Mus musculus: one gene and its partners. The protein of the gene in region 6 interacts with the protein of the main gene of each other region in a pairwise test. Links are inferred from orthologs where the notes say so. Each region holds a gene or a part of one and is shown on either strand. Other genes may lie near its edges.

Region 1 (4,226 bases), on a different chromosome or scaffold from region 6:
CATCTCTGGTACAGAAACAGACAGCAGAGACCCAAGACTGAGGTGAGGTATTTATTATCTTGCTTCTCCATCTAGACTTCCTTAAAATTGGGGCCAATTCAGAATAGGAATGACTGAAGATTACAGGCACAGGGCAAAGAGGCCTTTGCTGAGAGAGTTAAACTATCAATTTTATAAGGCCAGTAAATACCACCTGGAATTTCTGAATAATCAATTGTGTCAACTCATAGATCATGTTATTTTATTTCCTAAACACCATTCCAGTACTTCTTGATGTTCAAGTTCAAGTCCCTCGTATCAGAACACGTCTTGAGTGCTTGAAAATGCAGATTCCTAAGCTACCCTAGGCCCCAGAAGTAATTCTAGGACAAGAACAGAATTCCCATGGGGCTATTCAGTTTATTTGGAGGATTCATGTGAAGCCAGGAGGATCTGTATAGCCCTTCATACATTTAGACATATATATTAGGGATTTACGTATTTCATCCAAATTTTATGTAACATAAAAACAAAAACACTTGTGATGGATTCTTAAAACCACTCCAGTTTATAATGAACACCACTATTAAACTGTAATCAAGAACATAAAATGACTGTGAAAAAGATCAACTGTGCTTCATGAAGGTGCTGTCCCTATTGTCACTAAAAGTAACTATACCATTAAAGGAATTTATAGCTTTTTTAAGTATCAGTCACTTGCCAGCAGGAACTTAACAAGCTGTTATAATAATACTCCTCCCATACTTTTTTAGTCATCAGAATTTTTATGATAAAGCCTTTTTATTATTTTTTAAGCTACACATTGTGAACCATTGTTACTAGTGATTAGGCCAAATATGAACTGATTTCCAGGGTATCAATTCCTAAAGGCATGTTTCATTAGGATTAGTAAGGCAATCTTAACTTCAGCCTTGGCAGTAAAGTTCTATTTACTTTTATTAAACTGTGTGTGTGTGTTCAAAACAATTTATTTTTAGTACATCCTCTGAAGCAAAAGACAACAGTTTGTGATATACATGTTACTGCCAACCAACCTTGCTGTCGAGGTAACAACCACAGTTCTTCTCAGGGGATTTTTTTCTTCTTCTATAATTCCCCCTCCTAAATTATGGCTACAATTATATCAGAAAATACTCCCCCCTGTTCTAAGAGACACCATTCCCTGCTTCACCCTCATTAAAGCTGTAAGTTCTGGCCAAATAATAGCTGAAAATAGAAGTCAAGCGAAAGGCTTTGTTTGTAGCGTGTTGTTTTCCTAAGGATTGCCCCCTACCCACTATCCACCCCAGTGTTCTGGCTGAAGTGTACATGCTATGTTTTAACAGATGGGCTGGCTGGCGGCGGCTGGGCTGTAAAACAGGAACGCGGAATCTGTACTGAGTGGTATTGAACTGAGTGCTCGTAAAGTTTACGGACATATACTGACTCAGACAGACCAGACAAGAGTCAGACATGCTTACACATACAGGACAATATATACCTTATAGCTAAGCGCGTTCATCTCTATAAGCGAGAGGAAGTTCAAGGCTGAGTTAATTCTTTATATATTTCTACCTCAGCCCCCTATCAATCCTGCACATAGATTCAGATATATGCACTTGTACATCCATATATGACATAACTCAACGTTTTATGTATTATAAAAGACAGAACTATTCCCAACACCAGAGCCAACTCTCCATAGTCTTCTTAATAAGCTCTCATTCAAATCAAATAAGAATTGCAAGGCAATATTGCACTGAATTCTATTTAGTCCACACAGAATATAAGCTGCATGCAACTGCACTCAGAAAAAAAAATCAAGCTGCATTTACTACAAGAGGAAACGGGGGACAGTGTAACCTGAGCTTAGCAACAAAGTGTCAGGTCTAACCTTGAATCCTCAGTTGTCAGTTCTTGCCACAACTTCATCACGTAAAACACGCAGGTGTTTTAATGAACACCACCAAAACAGGCTGGGGGACACCCAGCCTGGTGTTGGCCTCTACGCTCCCTGCTGGTCCTAACCAAGTTCCTCAGACACACCTTGTAGCAGATGCGGAGGTCTGAGCAACCCGGGAAGAGGGGCGCACATTCAAAGGCTGACAGGAAGCAATTACTTCCCAAAGTTTAATGTTCAGCACCGCTGTCATTTTCTTTGGATCTGCAGAGTACGAAAGAGGCCTGCTACTGTCCCCAGCGGGTCCCTCCAGTTCTCAGTCGGAACGCGACCAGCGCTCGCTGCGCACGCCGGCTCGGGCGCCGGTTAATGTTTAGGAACCACTCTCAAGCCATCTAGGAACTGCTGTGTGCGCACCGAGGTGTCCCCGCGCGCCCGTGTCGCCGCCGCAGAGGGGCAGGGGCGCGTCTGGGACCTAAGGGTGGCAACCACCAACGCCAAGTCGGTTCCGACGCACAGGCATGTCCTGGGCCGAGTTGGGATGCTTTGAAAACCAGAAGTTCGGGAGCCGGGACGCTGACAGAGAGTAAGTGTCTCCTGCCTTGCCTTGCCCTTCCACAGCCGCCACGCTCCCACCCGCCAGCACCGACGCGGTCTTCGGCTCGCTGGCAACCCGGCGCGGAGGAGCCGCTTTCACGGCGCGGCTACTCACCCTCCTGGCCCAGTAGAGACGCCAAATCCACGCCCCTGCAGCAGATCCTCAGTCCCAAGTTGCCCGGAACCGCCGGCTGCTCTTGCCCCGCCGCACCTGGGCGCATTGGCTCTGCGGGGCACCTGACGGGGATCGCCGCAAGCTCGGCGGTCGCCTGGCTCAGCAGTCGCCCAGAGCGCGCTGGCAAACCACGGACCCGCTCAGCGAATGAGGCGGAACACAGCGCAGCGCTGACTAGGCTCCGAAGGGGGCGGAGCCCTGGGGCGGGGCCAGCCTCGGGCCAGCCCCTGTAAGGCGGGGCGTCTACTAGTGTTTGACTGGCGGAGGCCATAGCCAATCGTCAGGGCACCAGGATCCTTGGAGGCCGTAGGAGGTGCCTAGAGCGTAGTCCCGCCCCTCACTCAATGTCCAATCGCTTGCGGCTGAGCGTTGGCCCGGAGACGCTCTAGCTGCCCGCAAGTTGGCAGTTGTGAAGTGCGGTGGTGGTGGTAAGTGTAGTGGTGGTGGCGACGGCGTCGTCTGGGGAGGCTCCTGCATGGTCTGATGCTGTGTGACCCGAACGCCCCGGGAACGAGGCTGCGGCCAGGGAAGGCTCTTGCTGACAGACCGTAGGAGTTCCCAGAACCATCGCGAATGGGCACGCTGCGGGAAAACAACCCTCACATCTGACACCAACAGGAGGCAAGGAACTTAGCCCTAAAGGCGCCCTAGTCATGGGAGGACTCTGAGTACTCAAACAGACTGAGTCTCACAGGTCCAGCTACACTGGAGACGGTTCGGTTCTAAGCTCGTTCTGGCGGTTGTCTCCGAAACAAGGACTCTGGCTCAGCCAACCTCTGGGAAAGTACAAAGCAAGACTCTCCTTTTCCTTCCACACCGCCAGGGACATTTTAACAAAAGCCTGGTTCTTCCCATGCCCAAAGGCGCCCCATGCATTTCCTATTCTCCACAATGGGTTCTGCTGCTGTCTGCTGGCTCCTCCAGGAATATCGAGAAGCCAAACCATCCAGTCTTCTTGGACAGAAAACCGCAGCAGTGCAAGCAAGCCACATCCATCGGACTCTGCATTCCCCACTTTACCCTTTGGAAAACCTTGATTAGGCTGATGGTGTGAAGCTGCCCATAGTTGGTAATAGGGAGTGCACTGGGAGCCTTTAGGTCTGGCCTGAATGGTATTTTTGGCCAGGTTTTAAGATCAAACACACACACACACACACACACACACACACACACACAGAGAGAGAGAGAGAGAGAGAGAGACAGAGACAGAGACAGAGACAGAGAGACAGAGAGAGACAGACAGAGAGACAGACAGAGAGAGATTGAAGGGAATGGAGAGTCAAAAGCAGATATTTGAGTATTGCTGTCTAAGGCTTAGAATATGAGCATGTCTTAGACTATCTTCTTGGACTGGGTAGATCCAATCAGTGCTTAGACCTGTACTTGTGCATCCAACTCAAGTTAAAAGGAATGCACAACAGGACAAGAAAGGGACCAAACTTGCTAATGGTCTGCCAATCACGTGTCCCCCACCTCCATACTCTTGCTTCTAACCCAAACACTTCAGATCACTGTCTCAGTTCTGAGAAACTCTAAGGGATTATGTAGCCATTTAGTACAGGTGACTGACTATTC
Region 2 (4,237 bases), on a different chromosome or scaffold from region 6:
ACATATATACTTCTTTATTCAGCACATATAACTACAAGCAATGCCAAAAATCCCACATCAGTGGCTATACAGAATACAAATCCATAGCGCTTGCCCTGTACAGTCCTTTAATGTTTCTGGAGTGACTTTACTTATATGATATCATGTAAAAACTATTCTAGAGGCCAGGGAGGACAGTCCATGCCTGCATTCCCAGCACTCAGTAGGTGAAATAGGAGAATTTGAGTTCAAGGCCAGCTCAGGCTACGTAGCAAGTTCCAAACTTTGTCTCAAACAAACCCAAAACTGGCCTGGGGATGCAGCTCGGCTTACAAAGCACTGGGACTCAGTCCCTGGCTCTGTACTTGAGAGAGCATGCCTATAGTGCCAGGGCTGGAAAAAGTCAGAAGACAGTGAGAAAGCAGGGCTTTAGATCATTCCCGGCAGGGATGTAAGCCTGGAGTACTCAGATCCCCAAACATCCAGACTCTCACAAGGGAAATGTTTTCTCACACAGAGAATACTCAGTAATGTCGCTATAGGTGTAAACTGAAACACCCCTGAAGGGATAAGGCTTTAAAAAAAGACAAAGGGGTGGGGACTGAGAGAGCGGGTTTACTCATAAACAGGAAGAACGAAGGCAGGTACGGTAGCTCATGCCTGCAATCCCAACACCCAGGAGGCTGAGACAGGAAGATCACTGTGAACTCGGTCAGGAGAGGCTACCAGGCAGGACCTTTTCTCAATTGGGAAGGAGGAAGAAAGCAGAGATAGTGTTGTTCTAGGTAGGCAACTTGGTCGACCAGGAAGCAAAAAAAAACCAGGTTGACCAGGCTCATGCCTGAAAAGATGGGACTGAGGGCTATTCCAGGGCCCTGAGAATCGGAGTCAATGAGACACAGCATGACTAATTAAACTCCCCGGCTCGTTATCCTGTGTGTATCAATAGTGAAAGGGCTAAGTTAGGAGAGTACCTGATGATCTTTCATGCAGAACACAAAGGCTACTGGGTCTCCTGAATTGGGTACATGTGCTCCTAGTTCAGTGTGTCTTCTCAGTGAATGAGAGAGATGTAAAGCCCAGAATTTTTCTTCACTGTGGTCCAGAGAGGAGAGAGTTGATGTTCCTCCCCACCCCACATAACACGGGAGGAGGAATGCTTCCTTCCTTTGAACAACACTTCATTTCCCAACCATCTGGCACATGCACCTGTACCTCAGGAAAAAAAAAAAAAAAAAAAAAAAGCTTCCAGGAACAGGTACTATATTGGCTGTGCTTGGTCTCCTAGGGACAAGAAATTCCAAACACAGAAACCAAAAAGCCTCCTGTAATGGGAAAATTAACCCTTAGGAAAACAGACCAGGAGTTGTAAGACAAGCATTGAATCAGGAGAGAGGGGGAAGGAGGGTGGGCTTGGATTCCAGTCCTAGCTCTGCCATCCACTGACAGGACAGCTTCAAACAAGCCGTGTAGCCAACTGTCAAACAGATATGACACTTGCATTTTCTAACCTATTGTCCTGCAAATCAAATGAGATAAACTCTGAGTGCACGTGTAAGACTGCTGTATTACTTGTTGCAACAGAATGGCAAAATAAACTCACAGTGAGAACCAGAGGAAATGCTTGAAAATGCTTGTTCCTTCTTTTCAATCACTGGGAAGTAGGCCCTGCCACAAGGTTTACTGAAGACACTGCATAACAAATGCACCCCTCACCCTCCCTTGGCACTATCCAATCCCACTCTTTCTTGGGGGAACACTAGTAGCCACCCATCCTGCTACAGTAGTTAAAACTACTGTATAAGAAGTAGCTGCCAAGATTCTCATAGGTCAATCTCCCAAGAACAGTGGCCTTGGTAACCATCACATTTGCTACCAGTTGAAATGAAGTTTCATGAAATGAAGTTAGTGTACCAATCCAAAACACCCTCATCCTGCTTTTTCAGGTCTTTCTCCTGCCCCTACTCCCACCCCCCCTCACTCTCTACCCCACAAATGCCCTGCCTCCTGGACTGGGGTGGGCTTTCCAGTGTATTAAACGAGTGGATGGATCGTGCGTATCAGAGAGCGGGGCTGCAAATCATTCAGGGTCAAAGATGTAAGGAATGTAAGAGTCCTCCACGGAGAGGCGGGAGGGGAGAGAAGCGGCGAAGGAATAAAAGAGAAAGACAAGGCTGCCAAAGACAAGGCATGGGAAAGAAGCCAAGCTATGGCGCTTGGAGGGCGGAGGTTTGGGTTCCGCGGTCCCTGCCAAGGCTAGCCCCCAGAACGTTCCCTTCGCCTCCAGGCCTGTCAATCATTGCCATTTAAACTCCATGTTGTCCCTCAGCCCCAGCAATCAGCTCCTCCCGGGTCCTCAGGCTGGCCCAAGGCCACTCCCGCACTTCCCGAGGCTCTCCCTACTCCAGAGGATCTTCCAAAGCTCCAGAGCCCCCAGCTAGCTCACCTCCCGACTCCTCCCAGCTGAGCTCCCTTCCTCCATTTTCCTCCTCCTCTCCACCCTTCCTCCCTACCCCCAGCACTTCGGACCCAGGCACCAATCCACAGGGACCTCGCCCCCTCTCCCCCCCAACCCCCCAGGGTTAGAAGCTCGCCCAGGCGCATTACGCACCACCCGGAACGCAGCCTGGTTTCTCCGGACGCGGGGCCTGGCTGCAGCTGAGGACACGGCGGCCGCGTAGCACACTGTGTGCCCGGTCTCAGCCTTTCCCCGTAGGGGAAGGGGAAGGTAAGGATGGGGAAGAAGGTTCCGACCACTCCTCGCTGTCTCGGGTTAGCCCTTAGCCACGCCCACTGCTGCTACGCAACGGGGCGGAAGCTCGTCACCAAGCCCCGCCTCTCTATTTAACTCGGCGGCGCCTGGATGCTCCTTGCGAGCGGCCTATGAGAGGCGGGGGCTAGCTGGGCCTCCGCTCTGGGCCGGAAGTTCTTAGGACGGACAGTGTAGCCTTTTGGGAGGGAGGGCTCTATGTGCTTCAGGTGTGAAGCTCCGGGGCGACCCTGGGTGTCCCGCCTTGCAGAGTTACTTGGTGCTGGGTGGTGCACGGCTCGGGTGCCAGACCTGGTGCAGCGCTGGGACGAGGTCGCCGCGGGGCAGCTGGTCTGCAGCGTGGCCTGCTGTCCTCCCAGCCCTTCAGTTTCCAGAGCTGTGGTCAGCATCCCGGAGCCTCCCGACCTGTGACTCACAGTCATGGGGATGGATGCTGCTGTTAACTTAGGAGGCCGCAGGATGGAGAGGGAGGGAGTGTCTCACCGCAAAGCTTTGATCTAGGGTGCTGCAGGGGTCGTCCACCTCCCAGCCACACACTCTTGTAGTATTCCTGATGGCTCTTCAAAAACTCAGACCGCCCGAAACATTAATGGATTTGATTTCCTAAGGCTGCAACACTGTGGTTAGGGGAAATGGGTGGGAGAGAACCCGAGGAGAGTCGTGGTGGAGTTTAAAGCGCTCTGTGTTAGGTAAGCGGGGAAGCAAGACAAGGAATGCAATTACATTACCTCTTAGGCTAATCTGGTGTCAAATAGTATTTGTTGTAGATACTCTCTTTTTTAAAGGGCAATTCACATTAGTACATATGTAACTAGCTTATTCGTGAGAATACAGAGCTAGCTGCTTCCTTTGAAGACAATATGACGAGTACCAGAGGAAACTTAAGCTTCTAGGTGTCTCTGAGATACAATAAAATAAGGAAACAGGAATCGGATGTGCCTTTGTGAACCAAGTCAAACTTGCTTCCCTCCCCTCCCTCTCCCCTAGTCAGGGTTTCTCTTTGTTGCCCTGGCTGTCCTGGAATTCACTATGTAGGATAGGCTGGCCTTAAACTCAAGAGATCCGCCTACCTCTTGCCTCCCCAGTGTCCACCTGGCTTGAGGCTTGCTTTTTATGTTCCGGGTTCAACGTCTTTCAAAGGAGAGTGAATCTGCGTATTATCTTTCTATGGCGAAAATGCTGCTTGTCCCAGAGCCCTGAGCCGAACCGTTCGGTACATTAAAGATGATGTGTAAGCTCCTGCCATGTCCAAGGTACTGGCTTTTAACTAACTTTCCATTTTCATGTGTAAAATGGGCAGTGGTGGCGCACGCCTTTATCCCAGTACTTGGGAGGCAGAGGCAGGTGGATTTTTAAGTTGGAGGCCAGGCTGGTCTACAGAGTGAGTTCCAGGACAGCCAGGGCTACACAGAGAAACCCTGTCTCAAACTCCTTCCCTCCGCCCCCCGCAAAAAAAAAAAAAAGAATTGCCGAGAAAACAAGCAAAGA
Region 3 (4,171 bases), on a different chromosome or scaffold from region 6:
AATGTGCAAGTCTGGAGTCTATCCATAAGCTCCATCTGCTCTCCCAGAGAAACTTAAGCAAGGTCTTCAAAGAGAAAGAAGCAGGCTTTGGTTCCCACCCAGTGTTTCCTGAGCACAGGATTTGGTCCTCCTGGCATCCTAGATGCAGGGGCAGCAAAGCACCGAACTAGACCGGTTTTCTACACTCCAGCTCCAGCCAGGGAAAGCGTTTCGCTAATGTCAGCTGTGGTGGCTACTCCTGGTGGTCAACTTGACTATCTGGAAGGAATTACAACCCAGAATTGGAGGGCTCACCTGTGATCCAGATCTTGAGGCTGGAAGACACAAGTTTCTGACCTGGATCTTGACATGGAGATCTTGAGGTACAGTGGCCATTAAGTTTAGGACCAGGCAAGGCAGTACACGACTTCAATCCCAGACTGGGGCAAGGAGTTCTCTGAGTTCAAAGTCAGCCCGGGAGAAAGCAAGTCCCAAATCCAAACAAGGTGGTGCACACCTTAATCTGGGCCACGCCTTCTGCTGGAAGTCTACATAAGGACATAGGAAGAAGGAAGATTCTCTTCTTCACGGGCTTGCACTTACTTGCCAGCACATCTGTCGGAACCTACTTCTACAGAAGACCAGCTGAAAGAACTAGCCACGTGGGACTGCGCAACTACTAGATTCTTGGACTTCCCATCCACAGCTGCCCATTGTTGGGTTAGCCTGTAAGTCATCACGATTAATTATAGAGAGAGAAACATTCACTAGGTTCTGTAGCTCTAGAGAACCCCTGGCTAATACATCACCCAACCGGAGGAGGGGAAAAGACGCACCTCGGTCTGCAGCCAAGATAACTCACCTACTACAGCTTGCCGGTTAAATTGCCAAACCTCAGCCAGTCGGAAGTGACGTGCCAGCATAGACTCTCAGGTCGGCCACGTAATACACCGCCGCCTTAAACAGCAACCCTCCCCCAGAATTGACCCGGAGACCGGGAAAGTGTGGCCCAACGCCCACAACCCGTAGCCGCCCAGGCCTCTGCGGTTCCCAGCCCCACCGAGGACCAGCTTGAGCCTCTGCGGGCTCGCTGACCGCGCAGCTCTGCCAGCCCAGCCACGGCGCGCTGCCCGCCATGGGGTTCGGCGTCTCGCCACGCGCATGCGCGGCCCTCAGTCTCCGGGGGACCGCTCTGGTCACCTGGGCGCCAGCACCTCAGCCACGGGAAGCGGCGGGTTCCCTCTCGCCCGGTAAACTAGCCGCGCAGGCCCTCGCCTCCGGCTCTCCGCCCGCCACCCGCCGCGGGCCCGACTAGGCCCTGGCACGGCGGCTCGGCGCCGCGCAGCTGTCTTCCATCGCCGCAGCGCGGCTTCCGCTTCCGGCGAGTATTGTGTGTCGCGCCGCGGGGCGGGGGTGAGGGGAGGAGGAAGGAGGGAGGCAGTGCTCCGGCGGCTCCGCGCCCGGCACTCCGGGACCCGGAGCCGGGAAGGTAGGTGCTGCGCCGCCGCCACAAGGGTCCCGCAGCCGGCTCCAGCGAGCGGGCTCCTCTCGCCGCGGCCCTACGCCCGGCGAGTACGTCAGCCGGCCGGCGCGCAACCACAGCTGCCTCCGCCCGCCTCGGGCCCGGAGGACGTTTGCCGCCCCGGCGACGTCAGCGCGTCCGGCGTTGCTTGGCTACCCCGCCGTTCCCCTGTCCCGCTGCCTTTGGTCTCCCCGGGTGAAACTGACGCAGTCATCGCGGGTCTGGGCTGCGACATGGCAGCGGGCATCCCACCTTCACGTCACACCTCTCCCTCACTTAGACACGCATCCGTTCCTCCCTGCCAAGCACGACGTATGCTCCCTCACTCTGGTCCTCATGCTCCCGATATGGCTGGAGAAGATGGAGAACGGGTGGGACAGAGTTGTGGCCAGTGCTTGAAAGAGGCTCCTGAGGTGGTACCCAATAGTGATTAAAGGCAAAACGTGGACGTCTCTGACGCGATTACTTACACTGAGATCGAGTAATGGAGAGTGGGAGGAAGGATCAAGCCAGAGGAGCACAAGGCCATATTATGGCTGCCCTCTACACCACCACCACACCACCCCCAGCTCCAAATCCTCTCCGTTCTTCACTATCCTTGAGCCCGTTTCTCTCTCATACCATCTATTTGCTAATTAGATACATGCAGGTCTCTCAAGTGTGAATATGGTTCAGTTTTAGGTGAGGATGCCACTTATCTGTAGGATTGAGGAGGAGGAGGCTAAGTCACTAGTCAAAACTGGATTCTAATGGGCAGAGAAGAAAGAAATCATCCAACTGTACTTATCTGGATCAATTCTTTTCTCCATTAAAAGAGGATAAGTTACCAACTCCTACTTAAAATCCTTCCATTTGTACCACCAGTATACAGAAATAATCATTGTTGCCCCAATTCATTACATGGGCACTTTTCTGTCGATGGGTAGACCTATCAAATTTCCTTCCTTTTTGGGGGGCCCCTTTTGGGACAGAAGGAAAGTAGGGGGTTATGGGACCAGATAAATTAGCTTACTTATGTATTGACATCTTAAGAATGGAGAGCTTTGGTTGTCTCTTTCCATACACTTATTCATTTATTGAGACCAATAACTATTTATTGGTTATATTTAATTTAGGCTGGCCTCGAGTTCCTGAGGCTCCTGCCTTTGCCTCCTCGGTACATGCGCTACCTACCTAGTATTAACCATACCTGGCTAATTTCCTTCCTAATCACTGACTATCTAAGGAGTTAGTTATCAGTAGTGACGTTGAAAGACTGCAGTCACCACTGAATGTTTAGAATGTACTTGCCAGCTCTCTCTCCAAGAAGCTGCTGCCCTCAATGCACTCAATGGTGCTTCCTTAGAGCTGATATGTATTTGTTGCTTTGCAGCCATCCCAGCTGCACACAAATAGAAATGCGGTGAGTGACAGGAGCATCTTCAAGAAGAGAGCGTTCTTCCTTTGGGCTAGTTTGGGGAAAGGAAGAACCATGTCATGCTTTCCCTGAAACAGTGTGTTACTGTAGTGTAACTCATTAAGAGGAACAGCAGACAATCAAGGCTAGACTCTAAAACAATAAACTTCCTATGACGTTAGAAGAAGTAGCTTGGGGTTCTTTGAAATCGATGCAGTAATTATATATGAAGTTCTTTAAAGTAGTAATGAGTTCTAGGGCTGATAGTCAGTTTTAATAGATATGTAGATATATTATTTGTTTTACAAATCTTACTCTACAGCCCAGGCTAGCCTTATTCTTGTATTGATCCTCCTGCCTCACAGTGAGCCACCATGCCCAGCTAAAATCTTAATACTTTGGCTTATGTGACATATCTCATTTCCCATGGTTCCCTCCCTGTAGAAATAAGATCTGTGTAATTCAAGCTAACCTAGAACTCATTGTGTAGCCTACGTTGGCCTTCAGCTAATGACAGTCCCCCTACCTTGACCTCAAAAATGGCTAGGGAAATGGGTTTCAGTCGCCATATCAGGCTCCTTTTCATTGCTGGTATTGAAAAAGCAGAGGTAAAGAAATTCTGGGCACTGCTGATATTTGCTGACTCAAAATAATAATAAAATAATAATAACAGTGATGGGGAGAGGTCACACACACTGTAAATAGACCAACAGATGAAAAGGTGGAAATGGGAGAATACCAAGATGGGGCTTCATCTAGACCTATGGCTTACTGGGAGCTAATGTCAGGAAACAAAATAACCCTCCAACTAACACTTCTTTCCTCTCTCCCTGCCTCCAAGTTATAATGGCAGAGACAAGTCTGTTAGAGGCTGGAACCTCTGCAGCCTCCACAGCCGCTGCTCTGGAGAACCTGCAGGTGGAAGCAAGCTGTTCTGTATGCCTAGAGTATCTGAAGGAGCCAGTTATTATTGAATGTGGGCACAACTTCTGCAAAGCGTGCATTACCCGCTGGTGGGAAGACCTAGAGCGGGACTTCCCTTGCCCTGTCTGTCGGAAGACATCCCGATACCGGAGTCTCCGGCCTAACCGACAGCTAGGCAGTATGGTGGAAATCGCCAAGCAGCTCCAGACGGTCAAGCGGAAGATCAGAGATGAAAGCCTCTGCTCCCAGCACCACGAACCTCTTAGCCTTTTCTGCTATGAAGACCAGGAGGCTGTCTGTCTGATATGTGCAATTTCTCATACCCACCGGCCCCACACCGTCGTGCCGAT
Region 4 (3,680 bases), on a different chromosome or scaffold from region 6:
ACCTGACTGTCGAGCGCGACGAGTCGTCCTCTAAGAAGAGTCACGCGCCGGAGCGCTTCGCTGGTCAGGGGAGCTACGGAGTGGCTGGCAACGTGTTCATCGACAGCGGCCGTCACTACTGGGAAGTGGTCACCAGCGGAAGCACATGGTAGGCCGTCTCCGTCTGGATCCGTCTGTCTGTCCCTGTGTGTCCATCTGTCTTCTGTCCATCTGTCCACCTGTCCTCTGTCTGTCCATCCGTCTACCTGTCTGCCCTTCTCTCTGTCTGTTTCTGTCCATCAGTCTGTCTGCTCTTCTGTCCATCTGTCTGTCCATCTTTTGTCTATCTGTCCATCCCTCTGTCTGTCTGTCTGTCTGTCCGCCCGTCTGCCTGTCTGCCCTTCTCTCTGTCTGTTTCTGTCCATCAGTCTGTCTGCTCTTCTGTCCATCTGTCTCTCCATCTTTTGTCTATCTGTCCGTCCCTCTGTCTGTCTGTCTGTCCGCCCGTCTGCCTGTCTGCCCTTCTCTCTGTCTGTTTCTGTCCATCAGTCTGTCTGCTCTTCTGTCCATCTGTCTGTCCATCTTTTGTCTATCTGTCCGTCCCTCTGTCTGTCTGTCTGTCCATCCGTCTACCTGTCTGCCCTTCTCTCTGTCTGTTTCTGTCCATCGGTCTGTCTGCTCTTCTGTCCATCTGTCTGTCCATCTTTTGTCTATCTGTCCGTCCCTCTGTCTGTCTGTCTGTCCATCCGTCTACCTGTCTGCCCTTCTCTCTGTCTGTTTCTGGCCATCAGTCTGTCTGCTCTTCTGTCCATCTGTCTGTCCATCTTTTGTCTATCTGTCCGTCCCTCTGTCTGTCTGTCTGCCCATCCGTCTACCTGTCTGCCCTTCTCTCTGTCTGTTTCTGTCCATCAGTCTGTCTGCTCTTCTGTCCATCTGTCTGTCCATCTTTTGTCTATCTGTCCGTCCCTCTGTCTGTCTGTCTGTCCACCCGTCTGCACGGGCATGCACAGGAGAGAAACGGGGCAGTGAAGGAATGGAAAATCGAGATTCTCTGGTGACACTTAAGCTGCAGACCAGAAGGTCGGTCGACACACCGGCCGCCGTCCACCTCTAATGTGTTTAGGAAGGACAGACAGACATATTTAGACGTAAAGACTTAAAGGGAGTGTGATCGCCAATAAAGGATCACTTTAAAAAGAAAACACCTGTGGACCACGAGCAAATCTCACCGACAGGCGATGTGATTTTCTTTTTTTTCTCGGCAGGTACGCCATCGGCCTGGCGTACAGATCGGCGCCGAAACACGAGTGGATCGGGAAGAACGCGGCGTCCTGGGCCCTCTGCCGCTGCCACAACCACTGGGCGGTGCGACACGACGGCAAGGAGACCCCCATCGCGCCGGCCCCTCACCTCAGGCGCGTCGGCGTCCTGCTGGACTACGACAACGGCTCCATCGCCTTCTACGACGCTCTGAGCTCCGTCCACCTCCACACCTTCCACGCGGCGCTCGCGCAGCCCGTGTGCCCCACCTTCACCGTGTGGAACAAGTGTCTGACCATCGTCACGGGTCTGCCCATCCCGGACCATCTGGACTGTACGGAGCAGCGACCTTGAGGGACCCGGCCCCACAGCGGCCCCGGGGAGGGACACAGGTGGAGGCCGCTGTTTATGGGGTCGAGAAACTCAGGCTTCCAGAGCGTCGTGACATCTTCCCCAATCTGTCCAGAAAATCACTCACAGTCATCCCCCTGCCTCACACGGTCACTCAGGGTCATCCCCCTGCCTCAGAAAATCACTCACAATCATCCCCCTGCCTCAGAAAATCATTCACAGTGATCACCCCCGCTTCAGAAAATCACTCACAGTCATCCTTCTGCCTCAGAAAATCACTCACAGTCATCCCACTGCCTCAGAAAATCACTCATACTCATCCCCCAGCATCATAAAATCACTCACAGTCACCCCCTGCCTCAGAAAATCACTCACAGTCATCCCCCTGTCTCACACGGTCACTCAGGGTCATCCCCCTGCCTCACACGGTCACTCAGGGTCATCCCCCTGCCTCAGAAAATCATTCACAGTCATCCCCCCGCCTCAGAAAATCACTCACAGTCATCCCCCTGCCTCAGAAAATCACTCACAGTCATCCCCCTGCCTCACACGGTCACTCAGGGTCATCCCCCTGCCTCAGAAAATCACTCACAGTCATCCCCCTGTCTCACACGGTCACTCAGGGTCATCCCCCTGCTTCAGAAAATTCTATTCCATACTGAGGCCAGGCTGGGCACGACCGCTTAGAAGAACCGGATAGACGGCTAAAGCAGAAGCCGTCTTGAGCCTAATAAGGAAGCCCGCGGGCTTCCTCACTCCGATGTGAGTGGAGACATTTCAGCTGTGACTGTATCATTGATACCCAGATGAATATTTTGATAGCGACTTAAAACGACTTCACATCTTAAACACGGACACCTCGGTGGAAAATGTTTCATTTTCCTCTGAAAATTTGTGAGAACGTCTCGACGACGACGACGCCAGCAAGAGAAACGTTTGGAAAACAGCGCTTCTCGTCACGTTCTCGATTCTGCCACCCCGGAAGACATCTGGCCTCATCTGGAGTCGATCTCGGGCGTCTGTCCCCTCCTCGTCGCTTTCCCCTCGCAGACTCCGACCCCTGGGAGGACTCCCGGAGCGGAGGTTTTTCCCGGCGTGCTCTCTGTCGCCACCCGGTGGTGACAGAGGAGAATGCGGCGGTCGTGACCGGCGACACGGAAATTCTTTTTTATAGTTTTCTTAGACTGTCATTGACTGCTCGTCGCTGTTTGCGTATGTGTGAACCGTAGGCACAGTTTTTTCACACGTTGCACTTGTTCTTCTGTGGCCTGACCCCCCTGGGTCGGGCCGGTGCTTGGGGGTCACCCGCCCAGGTTGGATGTCACCACCACAAGGGAAAACAAACACATGGGTTTTTCCCCAACATGATTATTTTTTTATGTCACTCGCCTGCTGTTTGCGTGTGGGTGAACCCCGGGCCAAACATCCCATGTCAGCCATCGTTTCTGTTTTTATCACATCGTTGGGCTGGGGTTAGGGGTCGGGGTCGGGAGGGTGGGGATTCGTTTTGTCATCCGGGTCCGATGTCGGTGGTGTGCGCGGGGGGGGGGGGTGGGGGGGGAGAATAAAGGAGAAGCAGCGACGTGGAAATATTTTTATATTTTTCTTATGCTGTCATTCCGACATTCACTCAGCTTCATCCCCTGCCTCATTTTCAGGCCCCTGCCTCACACATTCAATCAGCATCATCCCCCTGCCTCAGAGACTCAGACACAGTCATCTCCCTGCCTCAGAAAATCAATCACAGTCATGCGCTGCCTCCCACAGTCACTCACAGTCATCCCCCTGCCTCAGAAACGCACTCACACTTAAACCCCTGCATCCTACATTCACTCAGCTTAATCCCCTGCCTCATTTTCAGGCCCCTGCCTCACACATTCAATCAGCATCATCCCCCTGCCTCAGAGACTCAGACACAGTCATCTCCCTGCCTCAGAAAATCACTCACAGTCATGCGCTGCCTCCCACAGTCACTCAGCGTCATCCCCTGACCTCTCCCCCACTCCCACAGGGTGGCAGTTGGCCCGGCTGCCTGGGGGATTCCGGGTGGGCGGAGCCAGGGAGCCTCGGTGACTGACAGGCAGGCGGGG
Region 5 (4,300 bases), on a different chromosome or scaffold from region 6:
ACATATGTATGTATGTGTGCATATGTGTGTGTATATATGTATATGTGGATGGCTGGGTGGGTGTGTATCCAGGGAGAAATAGTCTTCATTATTACAAAAGGAGTTTTAACATGTAGCAAATTGTCAGCACTTATTACTACTAAAACACATTAGATATACAAATTGTTATTAGAGATTTGAGCAACAGCATTAATAAGGCACATATAAAACAATCCATCCACTGACAAATCCATATCACTTGTGCAGATATATTTTATAAACAGCTACAAACAGATTAGTAAGAAGTTTTAGTGATTATTCATTTGAATAAGGAATTAAAAAGTCCATGTTTTATATACTTCTTTCTATATGAATTATTTCACAATAAAGATTTTAAAAGTTATTATCAAGTTTTTTTCTATTTTTCAAAGTTCATTCCACAAGATAAAATACAAAGAAGGATTTTGAGCTCTTTGCCTTGTTGCCCTGGATGGCGATGGATGCTGACCCTCCACTATGTTTGTTTTTGGTCATGGTAGTCTTCAAAATCCTCAAGATAAAATACAAAGAAGCCCTGTGGGGTGGTGCCCTCATTTAATCCCAGCACTTGGGAGGCAGAGGCAGGATAATTTCCCTGAGTTCAAGTTCAGCTTGGTCTACATAGCAACTTCTCAAACAGCCAGACTCAAAAGAGAATGTCTTAAGAAAAAGACGGAGACAGATGTTGGTATGTTTAAAGAAGAAACAAGAAGAATATTCAAGATTATAAACTACAGTAAACTGAACCCTGTTATAGTCTAGTTATTTCTAAACTGTACACATATTACACATAATGAAAGCAATCTCAATGTACATACACAAATCTAATGCAGTACTTTAAATTTATACTATATCACATACCTATATATATATTAAAATTAAATTTCAAGACATAATTATACTTCATGAAAATGCAATAAATTGTACACAGGACTTAAGCATGGTTTTGTATGTTTATTAAGCTTTCAAACTTATCACACAAAGATTTTTATTTTATACTGTCTTTGAAGAATAATGTACATGTCCTATTCATATTTGTTTTGCCATTATTACTTTTATCTAGTGAAATAATTCATATTATCTCACTTTTACAAACTTTGCCTCCATTAAATAAATATATTGCTTGGGCTGTAGAGATGGCTCAGTGGTTAAACGCACTGACTCTTCCAGAAGTCCTGAGTTCAATTCCTAACAACTACATGGTAGCTCACAACCATTTGTAATAGGATCTGATGCCCTCTTATGGTGTGTCTAAAGAGAGCAACAGTTTATTCACATACATAAATCTTTAAAGTATATACATATATATATTGCTATATTATTTTCATAGGATTGGATCTAGGTTGGTTTCTTTCAATTTGACAAGACTACCATGACCAAAAACAAACATAGTGGAGGGTCAGCATCCATCGCCATCCAGGGCAACAAGGCAAAGAGCTCAAGGCTGGAACCTGGAAACAGGAACTGAAGCAGAGACCAGGGAGTAACCTTGCTTACTGGCTTGCTCTCCATAGCATGCTTGGTTTGCTTCCTTAACAACTGCGGTCCAACCTGCCTGGGGCTGAAAAAACCCAGTGATCTGGGCCCTCTCATATCAATCATTAATCAAGAAAATGTTCCCAATCTGATGGAGGCAATTCCTCCTTTAACTACCCTCCTCTCAAGTCACTCTAGTTTGAGGCACATTGAGGTACGGGATGATAGCCTATGTAATGATTATGTAACTAACTGTCCTTTGATGTGAGGTTCATTCCAGATGGCAATACGAAACTTTGCAAAGTGAGGTAACTCGTGAGACAGGTTAAAACTGTCCTTCTTTAGCTGTCTACCACCATCGGGAATTAACGGACATCAAAACGCTCAAGGAGCCCTTCCAAAGGCCTATTCTCTTAGAAACCTAGTCTATTCTTCTATCTTGTAGTGTCCAACTTCAAGTACTTCACCAATACCACTGGGTGGTGTCATCCTCCAGTTAGAAAAGCCAGCTCTTGGCCGGGCGATGGTGGCGCACACCTTTAATCCCAGCACTCGGGAGGCAGAGGCAGGCGGATTTCTGAGTTCGAGGCCAGCCTGGTCTACAAAGTGAGCTCCAGGACAGCCAGGGCTATACAAAGAAACCCTGTCTCGAAAAAAAAACCAAAAAGAAAAAGAAAAAAAAGAAAAGCCAAATCTTGAATGTAGTGAAGGCAGAGTTTGCAGCTGCATCTTACTAATGTAGGCGCCGGGCATACTGAACTACACTGGGGTTTTTGCTCGCACTTTGAAGGGTGAGAACTGTGAATCGCTCAAGTGTCCCGCAAAAGCACAGAGTGGATCCGCGGTCCCGCCAGGACTGAAACCCTAACTCGTCAAAGCTTAGAGGAAAAACAGCCCACACTTCCGAGTCATTGTTCGTCCCTTCTTAACTTTTGAAAGACTATGACGCCATGAGGCCGAAACCTGGAGAAGGAGCGGTGTTGTCACCTGAGGACGCCGCGACGCGGGCCACGCAGCGCTCCTGCACCTCCAGGGGCCGCGGCCGGAAGTCCCGGGCGGGCTGCAGGCCACCCTGAGGTTCTCCCCCCTCCCCCAGCCGCTCCCGGTCCACGCCGTTACCTGAGGAGCCGCGGGATCCTTAAGCGCCCACTCCGCTCGCGTAGTTGCCCGGTCCTGTGGCGCCGCCACCGAGGCAGCCAATCGTCGCGCGAAACGCTGCGCGTGCCCCTGAGTAACCAAAAAGAGCAGAGCGGGCGAGAGGAAGCGCGCGAGAGCACGCGGGGACGAGGCTGCGCGCAGCGAGCATGCGCGAGTCCGCTGGCTGCCGCGGGGCGGGGCGGGACGGGGCGGGGCTTCCGGCGAGCTGGAGGGCTCAAGGATGGTTCCGGGCTGCTGGAAAGGAAGGCGACCTCGAGGTCGCGTTCTGTGGGAGGAGCTGACAACCAGTGCGCGCTAACTGGGGAAATGTGTGGTTCTCGGGCTCATCCCATGGAGTATCTTCACTGGGCAGTGGTTTCCTTCTGTGCGCAGTGCTTTGCGGGGACAGAAGGAAAGGTCCTGCGAAGTGAGCCAGAGTGAGACTTAGACATCGGCCAATGGTTTCAGAAAAGCTTTAAGGCTGGTGACATTTTGACTTCAGGACTAGAAAGGGTGTACTCAGAATGTTCAATCGCAGAACTTAAAAGAAAGGGCTGAACGCCAGGGATATTTTTAAAGCGAAGTATAGGAGTAATGTGGAATTCTATTAGATGATATAGCTGATAATATTCGAATATTTTTCTCCTTTTAAAGAAAGAGAAGTAGTGTCCCTATGCTGCCCTATCTAATCTAGAACTCCTGCACCCCACCCTAGCCACTGATGCTCTGGTAATTTAGTGTTGAGCTATTGAAGTCACTCTAACTTATCTATTTATTGAGGGCATACTACATGCCAAGTAGTCTTCTGGATGCTGGGGTAACAGTAATAATAGTAATTTTTTACACCCACAGCAGAAAATTATATTTATTTTCTGAATTAATAGACAAAGTTCGTGAAAGACTTTATTTTGGCTTATAGCAATACGAGATCCGTGTCCACCATGCTAATAAAGGCAGGATGGCAAAGTGGCTAGCCATCCAGTCAAAAAACAAGAGAATAGAAAATGGAGCTGGGCTCTATAACCAAAAAGCAGTGACCCATTTCCTCTAGCAAAGGTTCACCTTTCAGAAGTGCCACATACTCCACAAAGTAGGTGACAGGAGGAATGAAGCATGGAAAAAAAGGATGAGATGACCAGATGGAAATTATTTGGAATAAATAGAGCATAATACTAAAAAGAAAAAGTTTCATTATTTATGTAACTAATGACTAGTACTAGTGACTTGTGACAGATTCAGGCTTTAAATGCATTTTTAAATTTTATTTATTACTTTACATTAGTCGGAGTTGAATCATATTTTTATGTAAACAAACCACCACTAAAAAAATATGATTATGGTGGTACACATCTGTAATTCTGAACCTTTGAAGAGTGAACGTGAATTCCAGGACAGCCTGGGATACATAGCAAAAGTTTCCAAAAAAGAGGCCACACTAACTTCTAAACAATGAGCCCTAGCAGGGCAGTGGTGGCACACACCTTTAATCCAGCACTTGGGAGGCAGAGGCAGGCGGATTTCTGGGCTCAAGGCCAGCCTGGTCTACAAAGTGAGTTCCAGGACAGCCAGGGCTACAGAGAAACTGTCTCAAAAAAACAAAAAAGAAAAAAATGAGCCCCCATAAAATGAAAAATTGTGTACTTTCAGTATACAGTAGTGTTCCAGAGAT
Region 6 (3,500 bases):
GCCTACATGTACGTCTGTGTGAAGGTGTCCAGAAACTGAACTTACAGACTGTCATGAGCTAAAATGTGGGTGATAGAGAACTGAACCTGGGTCCTTTGGAAGAGCAGCTAATGCCCATAAGTGCTGAGTCATCTCTTCAGCTAAAGGGAACCCATTTTATAAGCACATTTTTAAAAATCTGAAGGTTGGCTGATAAATGCTTCCTTAAAGAGGAAGCAAGGAAAACAGAACACAATGACATAAACACGACTATAATTTTAAAAACTCTTGAAATCAAAGAATATCACAAAAGAGTTAAGTGTACAAGGAGAACTTAAGTCACACAGAACCTCTGCAATGTACATATCTGGACATAAGTGATAATGGAGTTCCTAACAGGTATTTGTTTATTCTTTATTTGTTATTTGTTTATTATGACATGATTTTATTATTATTTTTAAAGATTTATTTATTTTATATGAGTACACTGCAGTTGTCTTCAGACAGCCCTGAAAAGGGCCTCAGGTCCCATTATAGATGGTTGTGAGCCACCATGTGGTTGCTGGGAATTGAACTCAAGACCTCTGGAAGAGTTCAGAGTTAAGAGCAGTCTTAACCACTGAGCTATCTCTCTAGCCTGTAACATGATTTTATTATATGTGACAAAATTATTTTATTAAAAGAAACCATTTCCAAATTTAGTACAACATAGAATGTTAATATGCTAATATGAAATATTTAAAACTACACACACAGGTCTAAGAAAGTCTTTCAAAAGCTACTTTCTTACCTGATTCGCTACTACTGCATCTTGGGGGTCATCTGGTTCTGCAGCCGCCAACAGCGCTTGCAATGACAATAATACCGTGCGCAGAGTCATTGCTGCTGCCCTAAATTTCAAATTAGGAAAATATCACCGTTAAAAGGACTTTGAATGACATAAGCAAAGTCTGTTTTCTGAATGGAAACAAAAATACGCTAGAACTAAAAATTGTATAGTTAACTAACGTGTACCAATTACCAATTTTCTATTCTTCCAATGAGTCAATTTCTAAGATTATTCAAGTCACCTCACCCTCACCTTGCTGTTTTCTCTGCTTGTTCCATTTACTTACTTTGTAAGCTTTATCTTAATTAACATTCTTCTTAGATATTATGTGTGAGTTTCTGTCTCCATGTATGAATGGTGCTAAATGTCTGGTGCCCATGAAGGTCAAAACTGGAGTTCGAGATGCCTGAGTCACTGTATGGATGCTGGGAACTGAGGTCAAGCACTCTTTAAGAACACAGGCTCGCTCTTTCTTTTTCTTTTTTCTTTTTCTTTTTTTTTCTGAGACAGAGTTTCTCTGTATATCCCTGGCTGTCCTGGAACTCACTCTGTAGACCAGGCTGGCCTCGAACTCAGAAATCCGCCTGCCTTTGCCTCCCAAGTGCTGGGATTAAAGGCGTGCGCCACCAGTGTCCCGCTAGAACACATGCTCTTAACCACTAAGCAAGTTCTCCAACCACTTACCCATATTTCATTATAAAGTGATAATTTAAGTTACCAATACTAATAAACTGGAATTTTAAACAGACTTTTAAATGTCTAAATCATGCCTGCATAAGTGAACTTGAGTACAGGTGCTTGGAGAGGATAAAAGCAGTCCATCCTCTGCTGATGGAGTGGGTACCAAGGACTCCCCTGGGATCACTGCAGAGCAAGCAGCCCATGCCCTCAACCACAGTTAAGTCACTACAACTCTTTAATGGCATGCTAAGTAAAACACGGAGATAAAGATCAATCCATAGTATTCCAAAATAGGACAATTTTCTATTTAAAATATTACACTTGAGGTTGGAGAGATGGCTCACATTATATGCGTGTACTATTCTTGCAAAGGGCCTGTGTTTGCGTCCCAGCCCCCATTGCTGGCTTGCTGGCAAATGACCTAAAACTGCCGCTCCACGGGACTTACTGCTTCTGGCCTCTGGAGGAACCCACATAAACTATATACCCACACCAATACACAGACACAATTAGGAATAAAATTCAATCTCATAATTTAAGTCATGATCCTAATTATATTTATACCAAAAGCCCTTGTCTTTATGAAATAATTATTTGTTTAAAGTTTGCTTCACTAATCCTGAAATGTTTAGAATGTTGACAGGGCAATGATGGCACATGACATCTGGAAGGCAGAGGAACATGGATCTCTGTAAGTTCAAGACCAGCCTGGTCTCCAAAGCTAGTTCCAGGACAGACAGGGCTACACAAAGAAATCCTGTCTCAAGAAAATCTCAGAGCAAACTCTTCTAGAGGAATTTGACTGTCATCCTAAGTGAGGGCCTTGTAAAGTCAAGCACACTACACTATAGCTTTATCTCTAACCACAGTAAGTTCACTTTTTAACCACACAGACGGTTATTCTAAACCAGCCTTGTCTGGTTGAGTTCCTAATTCCTAAAATCAAACAACAAAAATTCCTAGTGACTATTTTCAGTTTCCTTGAATAATACACAAGAGACAACCCTAGATGTTCAGGCAAAAAGAAGAAAGAAAAGAGAAGAGAAGAGAAGAGAAGAGAAGAGAAGAGAAGAGAAGAGAAGAGAAGAGAAGAGAAGAGAAGAGAAGAGAAGAGAAGAGAAGAGAAGAGAAGAGAGAAAAGAAAAGGGAAAGGGAAAGGGAAAGGAAAAGAAAAGAAAAGAAAAGAAAAGAAAAGAAAAGAAAAGAAAAGAAAAGAAAAAAAGGAAGGAAGAAGGGAGGGAGGAGGGCGGGTGAGAGGGGGGGGAGGGAGAGAGAGAGAGAGAGAACACGAAGGAACTCAACTTTCTGGATGCAGCATATGTTAATGCAGTAAATGTCAGTAAATATTCTTCCTCTTACTAGTGGCATGAGTAGGTCTAGGGACTTGGTTTTGGGGACAGAGTCTACTATGTCATCTTAAGACAGATGAAAAACAGGACCCTCCTGTCTCTTCCTCCCAAGTGCAGGAACTTCAGGACTGTATTACTCATGCTCATTTGAGGACCTCACCTAAGACCTGCTCTATAAGAAGTTAGGAGTGGGGCTGGAGAGATGGATCAGTGGTTAAGAGCTCCGACTGCTCTTCCAAAGGTCCCGAGTTCAAATCCCAGCAACCACATGGTGGCTCACAACCATCCGTAATGAGATCTGACTCCCTCTTCTGGTGTGTCTGAAGACAGCTATAGTGTACTTACATATAATAATAAATAAATAAGTCTTTAAAAAAAAAAGTTAGGAGTGTTTGAGCAAATGGGCCAATGAAAATAACCAAAGACAGTATTTGTAGAACCCTGCTCTTTATATGCTAATTGGCAAGAGCTGTTCACACACAATGTAGGTCTATATTTTATATATTAAAATACCCACTATACACTAGTCTCTAAAATGATCTTAGGAAAGTCAGACATGGTAGCAAGCTCTATAATCCTAGCACTTGGGAGATGTAGGCAGGAGGTCTAGTTCACCCTAATATAAAGGAAGGCTCTGTCTAATATAAGGGCAGAGAAGAAAA
Region 7 (4,000 bases), on a different chromosome or scaffold from region 6:
GCAAAAGACTCAGATTCAATTCCCATAACCCACAAAGTATCTTATGCCCTCTTCTGGTCTCTACCGGTAGGTACCAGGCATTTATCTGGTATACATATTTTATGTTAGCAAAGCATTCATTCATAAACAATAGATCTATAAATAAATAAATAAATAAATACATAAATAAATACATAAATAAATAAATAAATAAATAAAAGATTGTCTTAAATGTCAATGGGAGAAAACCACAAACAAATGAATGAAAGAAAGATAAAGAAAGAAGGCTTTTCAGCTTAACTGCCTTCATAACTGAATTTTCCGTGGATGTAACAAAAACCAGCCAGCCAAGTCAACAGCATCTGGGAGATGGTGATGGCATTCCCAGGGGGCAGGGTCAGCATTTGGGATGTAAACCAACCAACAAACGAATAAAATAATGCTTTCAACTCTTCCAGAATTCCGTTCCTAGCATCTGTGTAGGGCAGCTCACAAGTGCCTGTAATCCCAGTTCGTCTGGTCTTTTCCAGTATTCACACGAATGGCTTTTACTCATATGCAGACACATACATATACACACATATAAAAATAACAAAAATAAAACTTTTTTTAAAACATGCAAACAAAATGAGGTGGAGATGTTCAATGGCGTCATAGTCTCTGTCGTTTCTTACTGTGGGAGTCTCTAGTTAGAAAGGGCTTGGGTGAGCCAGTGTGTGGGTGTTCTCTACACAGCCTGCTGTGGGTGGAGGAGCAGAAGACCTGGCACAGCATTCAGGCAGTAGTTAGCACAGCTAGGGAGCTTGGCTCGGGAGCACGGCTCAGGCACCATACACCCTCTGCCCTGCCCCTCACCACCACGTCAGCAGGATTTTATTCCTGCTTGCTGTATAAAGGAAGGCTAGGAGCTTCATCAGCAATGCCTCAGTTTCCCCAGAAGTGTTTGGAATGAGCATTTCTTACCCTGAACGCCCAGATTGCCCCTTCACCTTGTTTTTTCTCTTCAATTATTTTCTTGTCCTTTTGCCCCAAATCTTGGGCCTGTGACTCAATCTGCACCTGTAAGGAGAGGGTGCTTCAGCCAGGCTCTGACTCTTGAGAGGCAGGGAAGATGTTCCAGGGTACTGATGTCATTATTAGCAGTCCTCCCTGGCCCCCATCTCTCGATAGGAACAAGGAGGTGATGGAAAGAAATGGAACTTTAGTGACTTGAGAAAATACTACTAATGATCATTTGGATGGCGCTTTGGTATTCTCAGGGGAAGACTTCTCCTCATCCGTCCTATCACATTCTTTAAGAGATAGGTTTCATCTGCCTCACAGAGAGGCAGGGCCAGGACCAACCAGGGGATGGAGCTCTGTGGTAGAAGAGCACTGGCTTATCTGGATGTCTCAGGCTCTGCTTTGTAAGTTAGCAGTGGCTGGACTTGAATGAGACCTTCTGAGTTAAAATTTGCACTTAACAAAGAGCACACATGAGCTGGCCCATAGTCCCCACTACATATGTATCAAAGAACCACCGTGTCTGGCCTCAGTGGAAGGGGATGCGTTTGGTCTTATGGAGGCTTGATACCCCAGAGATGGGGGATGCTAGAGGGGTGAAGTGGGAATGGGTAGGGGGCATTACCCTCTTAAAGGCAAAAAGAAAGGGTGGGATAGGGTGGAAAGATCATGGAGGGGAACCAGAAAGGGTAATGTTTGAAATGTAAATAAAAAAAATAATTAATAAAAAATTATGTTTAAAAATTAGTACATTATTAATTGTGTGTGCAAGTTCAGCAGAGTGCTATGGTGTGTGTGTGTGTGTGTGTGTGTGTGTGTGTGTGTGTGTCTGTGTTTATGTGTATGAAGACAACTTTCAAGGGTGAGTTCTCTCCTTTTATTTTGCATGTCCCAGGGATCAAACCAATTTTCTCCTTCTACTATGTGGGTCCTTATGGTCAAGACAGGCACTTTTACCCTCTGGGTCATTTCGCCTGCCCCTAGAGTACTATTCTGATTCTTCGTCTTGCTTTGGTTACAGACTGGCATTTTCTAGAACTCAATTCTTTGAGCCCACTGGACCTGGCTATAAATGGCCAACTCAAGTACAAAGAGTACAGCAATGGGTGTCAATCAACTGGGGCCTCCCCAGTGAACTCTACTCTGCTGGGCTGGGGGCAGAGAAGGGCCCAGGTGCCTACCTTGTAGTTCTGGGCAGCCTCATCTATCAAGGTGACATTGTGAGACTTGTGGTCCTTGGAGTCACGACACACCACACAGAGGAATGCCCCATCCTGCTCGCAGAAGTAATGTAGCTTTTCCTTGTGCCTCTGACATCTTGAGTCTTCCTTTTCTGCTTGGATGTCAGCAGGATCCATACTTTGGATCTTCTCTGCAAGACTAGCCAGCAGCTTATTGGGCCTGAACGTATTCTTATTCACAGAGAGTTTGCAGAGAGGACATTGGATCTTTTCTGACGTTTTTCCAACCTGACTGATACACTGCAGGCAGAAGTTGTGCCCACAGTCAATGGTGACAGGATCTTGTAGAATTTCCATGCAGATGGGGCAGGTCACCTCCTCCTGCAGTTGGCAGGCCAGAGGTTGGCCTGCCATGATGGAACAGCAGGGCTAATCTGAGATGTGAAAGTACAGAAATCCAAGGCCTGGTGCTTGTAAGAGAGAAGGAAGCAGGAGGCAGAGGTTGAAGAGTATCTCAGGGAGAGGATTAGAGGAGAATGAGGGAAGGGGGGGTTAAATAAATAATGACAGAAAAGAGTCAGCGATAAATGGGGAATATTCTAAAGAGAAGAAAACAGATGGTCAGTCCTCTCTCCCTGTCTCTCAAGAACAGAAACCGAGAGTGCCTGCTGCCTATAAAGTAGAGCAAGACTTCCTGGACCTTGAACTAATTAAACATATCTTTCTGAAGCAGATTCAGAGAACAGAAAGACGAAGTGACAAAGTCCACTCAGGTGTAATTGGGGAGTGGAACTGATCGCTGGCAGCCCCAGGAAGGCTTGTTACCACCCCAGCAGATCTCTCACTCCCAGACCCTGCCTTCTGTTGGGTATTCCTTCCTGTCTCTGGTACCCCAGCATCTTTGAGTCATCCTTTGTTCTGTTTGGCCTGTCTGTTACTTCCTCTGTCTCTGTACTTCTCAGATTCCCCACCTACCCACACACACACACATCAGCTTGCCTGACCTGTGGACTTTAGCTTGACAAGGAAAGTATCAGCCAGGGTCACCGACATTTCCATTAGTAGCTCAACACTTCTTAACCCTTCCTCTTGCTCTTTTGTGCCCAGGAAGACGGTGCTCCCTCCTTCCTCCCTCTCCATCCCCACTAACCTCTCCTCTCTTCTGTTCTGTCATTAAAACCCAAACTGTTAATTTTTAAATAAAAATGTTTTAGATTTGTGTATTTTAATTTTACTCACATGAAAGTTTTGCCTGCACACACACACGCACACACACACACACAGAGTTAGTATTAATTGTATGCAAATGGTATGGGACCACCCACTGGAGCATAGGCCACTACAATGCCACAACCCCAGAAACTATCAATTGCCAATAGCTCCTCAGTGTGAGGTGGGGCCATATGAACCCTTTCCTATTTAGGTTGGAAAGTTGACTGGCCTGGTCTTATACAGGCAACCAATGTGTTCATAGGGCAAGGCCATTGGCAGGTCACACAGGGTGTGGAGGATTTTATGGCTATAGCCCCAACAATAGTTCCTTGTCATTTGCCAGGGACAGTCTTGGCTTTACCTTTGTCCCCTCATAAATGTCAACAGCCCTTCCTTTCATTCTCAAAAGTATCCACTCATATTATAGAGGTTACTTTGATTACAGCAACTACTGAAAGCTGAACACTTTCAGAAATACTACACCTACACTTCTCAGCCTTTTGGCTAAGATCAAGTGTAGAAATACCAGACCTCAGGCCTGTCTATTTCATTCACTTTAAGGTTGAATTAAAGCAAATATTTTTGTAAGGTTTTATAACTTGCATTCATACTCAGCTGTCAGATCT

What was found.
Region 1: the proteins of Ube2k (region 6) and Marchf3 interact in binary tests that used the Homo sapiens proteins (3 or more experiments, as listed by UniProt). The link is inferred for Mus musculus from reciprocal best matches to the Homo sapiens genes UBE2K and MARCHF3.
Region 2: the proteins of Ube2k (region 6) and Rnf41 interact in binary tests that used the Homo sapiens proteins (3 or more experiments, as listed by UniProt). The link is inferred for Mus musculus from reciprocal best matches to the Homo sapiens genes UBE2K and RNF41.
Region 3: the proteins of Ube2k (region 6) and Trim39 interact in binary tests that used the Homo sapiens proteins (3 or more experiments, as listed by UniProt). The link is inferred for Mus musculus from reciprocal best matches to the Homo sapiens genes UBE2K and TRIM39.
Region 4: the proteins of Ube2k (region 6) and Mid1 interact in binary tests that used the Homo sapiens proteins (3 or more experiments, as listed by UniProt). The link is inferred for Mus musculus from reciprocal best matches to the Homo sapiens genes UBE2K and MID1.
Region 5: the proteins of Ube2k (region 6) and Mipol1 interact in binary tests that used the Homo sapiens proteins (3 or more experiments, as listed by UniProt). The two-hybrid records come from large-scale screens. The link is inferred for Mus musculus from reciprocal best matches to the Homo sapiens genes UBE2K and MIPOL1.
Region 7: the proteins of Ube2k (region 6) and Trim31 interact in binary tests that used the Homo sapiens proteins (3 or more experiments, as listed by UniProt). The link is inferred for Mus musculus from reciprocal best matches to the Homo sapiens genes UBE2K and TRIM31.

The regions. Positions count from the first base shown.
Region 1 is NC_000084.6:56,922,716-56,926,941, forward strand, and holds the start of Marchf3 (E3 ubiquitin-protein ligase MARCHF3), read right to left. Parts: upstream 2,801-4,226; 5' UTR 2,592-2,800; intron 1-2,591. UniProt on the Homo sapiens protein: E3 ubiquitin-protein ligase which may be involved in endosomal trafficking. E3 ubiquitin ligases accept ubiquitin from an E2 ubiquitin-conjugating enzyme in the form of a thioester and then directly transfer the ubiquitin to targeted substrates.
Region 2 is NC_000076.6:128,410,179-128,414,415, reverse strand, and holds the start of Rnf41 (E3 ubiquitin-protein ligase NRDP1), read right to left. Parts: upstream 2,801-4,237; 5' UTR 2,591-2,800; intron 1-2,590. UniProt on the Homo sapiens protein: Acts as E3 ubiquitin-protein ligase and regulates the degradation of target proteins. Polyubiquitinates MYD88. Negatively regulates MYD88-dependent production of pro-inflammatory cytokines.
Region 3 is NC_000083.6:36,268,634-36,272,804, reverse strand, and holds the start of Trim39 (E3 ubiquitin-protein ligase TRIM39), read left to right. Parts: upstream 1-1,371; 5' UTR 1,372-1,468; intron 1,469-2,027; exon of another isoform or gene 2,028-3,738; 5' UTR 3,739-3,743; coding exon 3,744-4,171.
Region 4 is NC_000086.7:169,987,619-169,991,298, forward strand, and holds the end of Mid1 (E3 ubiquitin-protein ligase Midline-1), read left to right. Parts: coding exon 1-148; intron 149-1,244; coding exon 1,245-1,593; 3' UTR 1,594-3,180; downstream 3,181-3,680. UniProt on the Homo sapiens protein: Has E3 ubiquitin ligase activity towards IGBP1, promoting its monoubiquitination, which results in deprotection of the catalytic subunit of protein phosphatase PP2A, and its subsequent degradation by polyubiquitination.
Region 5 is NC_000078.6:57,228,925-57,233,224, reverse strand, and holds the start of Mipol1 (mirror-image polydactyly gene 1 protein homolog), read right to left. Parts: upstream 2,801-4,300; 5' UTR 2,614-2,800; intron 1-2,613.
Region 6 is NC_000071.6:65,589,245-65,592,744, reverse strand, and holds part of Ube2k (ubiquitin-conjugating enzyme E2 K), read right to left. Parts: intron 870-3,500; coding exon 770-869; intron 1-769. UniProt on the Homo sapiens protein: Accepts ubiquitin from the E1 complex and catalyzes its covalent attachment to other proteins. In vitro, in the presence or in the absence of BRCA1-BARD1 E3 ubiquitin-protein ligase complex, catalyzes the synthesis of 'Lys-48'-linked polyubiquitin chains.
Region 7 is NC_000083.6:36,896,930-36,900,929, reverse strand, and holds the start of Trim31 (E3 ubiquitin-protein ligase TRIM31), read right to left. Parts: upstream 2,801-4,000; 5' UTR 2,577-2,800; coding exon 2,163-2,576; intron 1,039-2,162; coding exon 943-1,038; intron 1-942.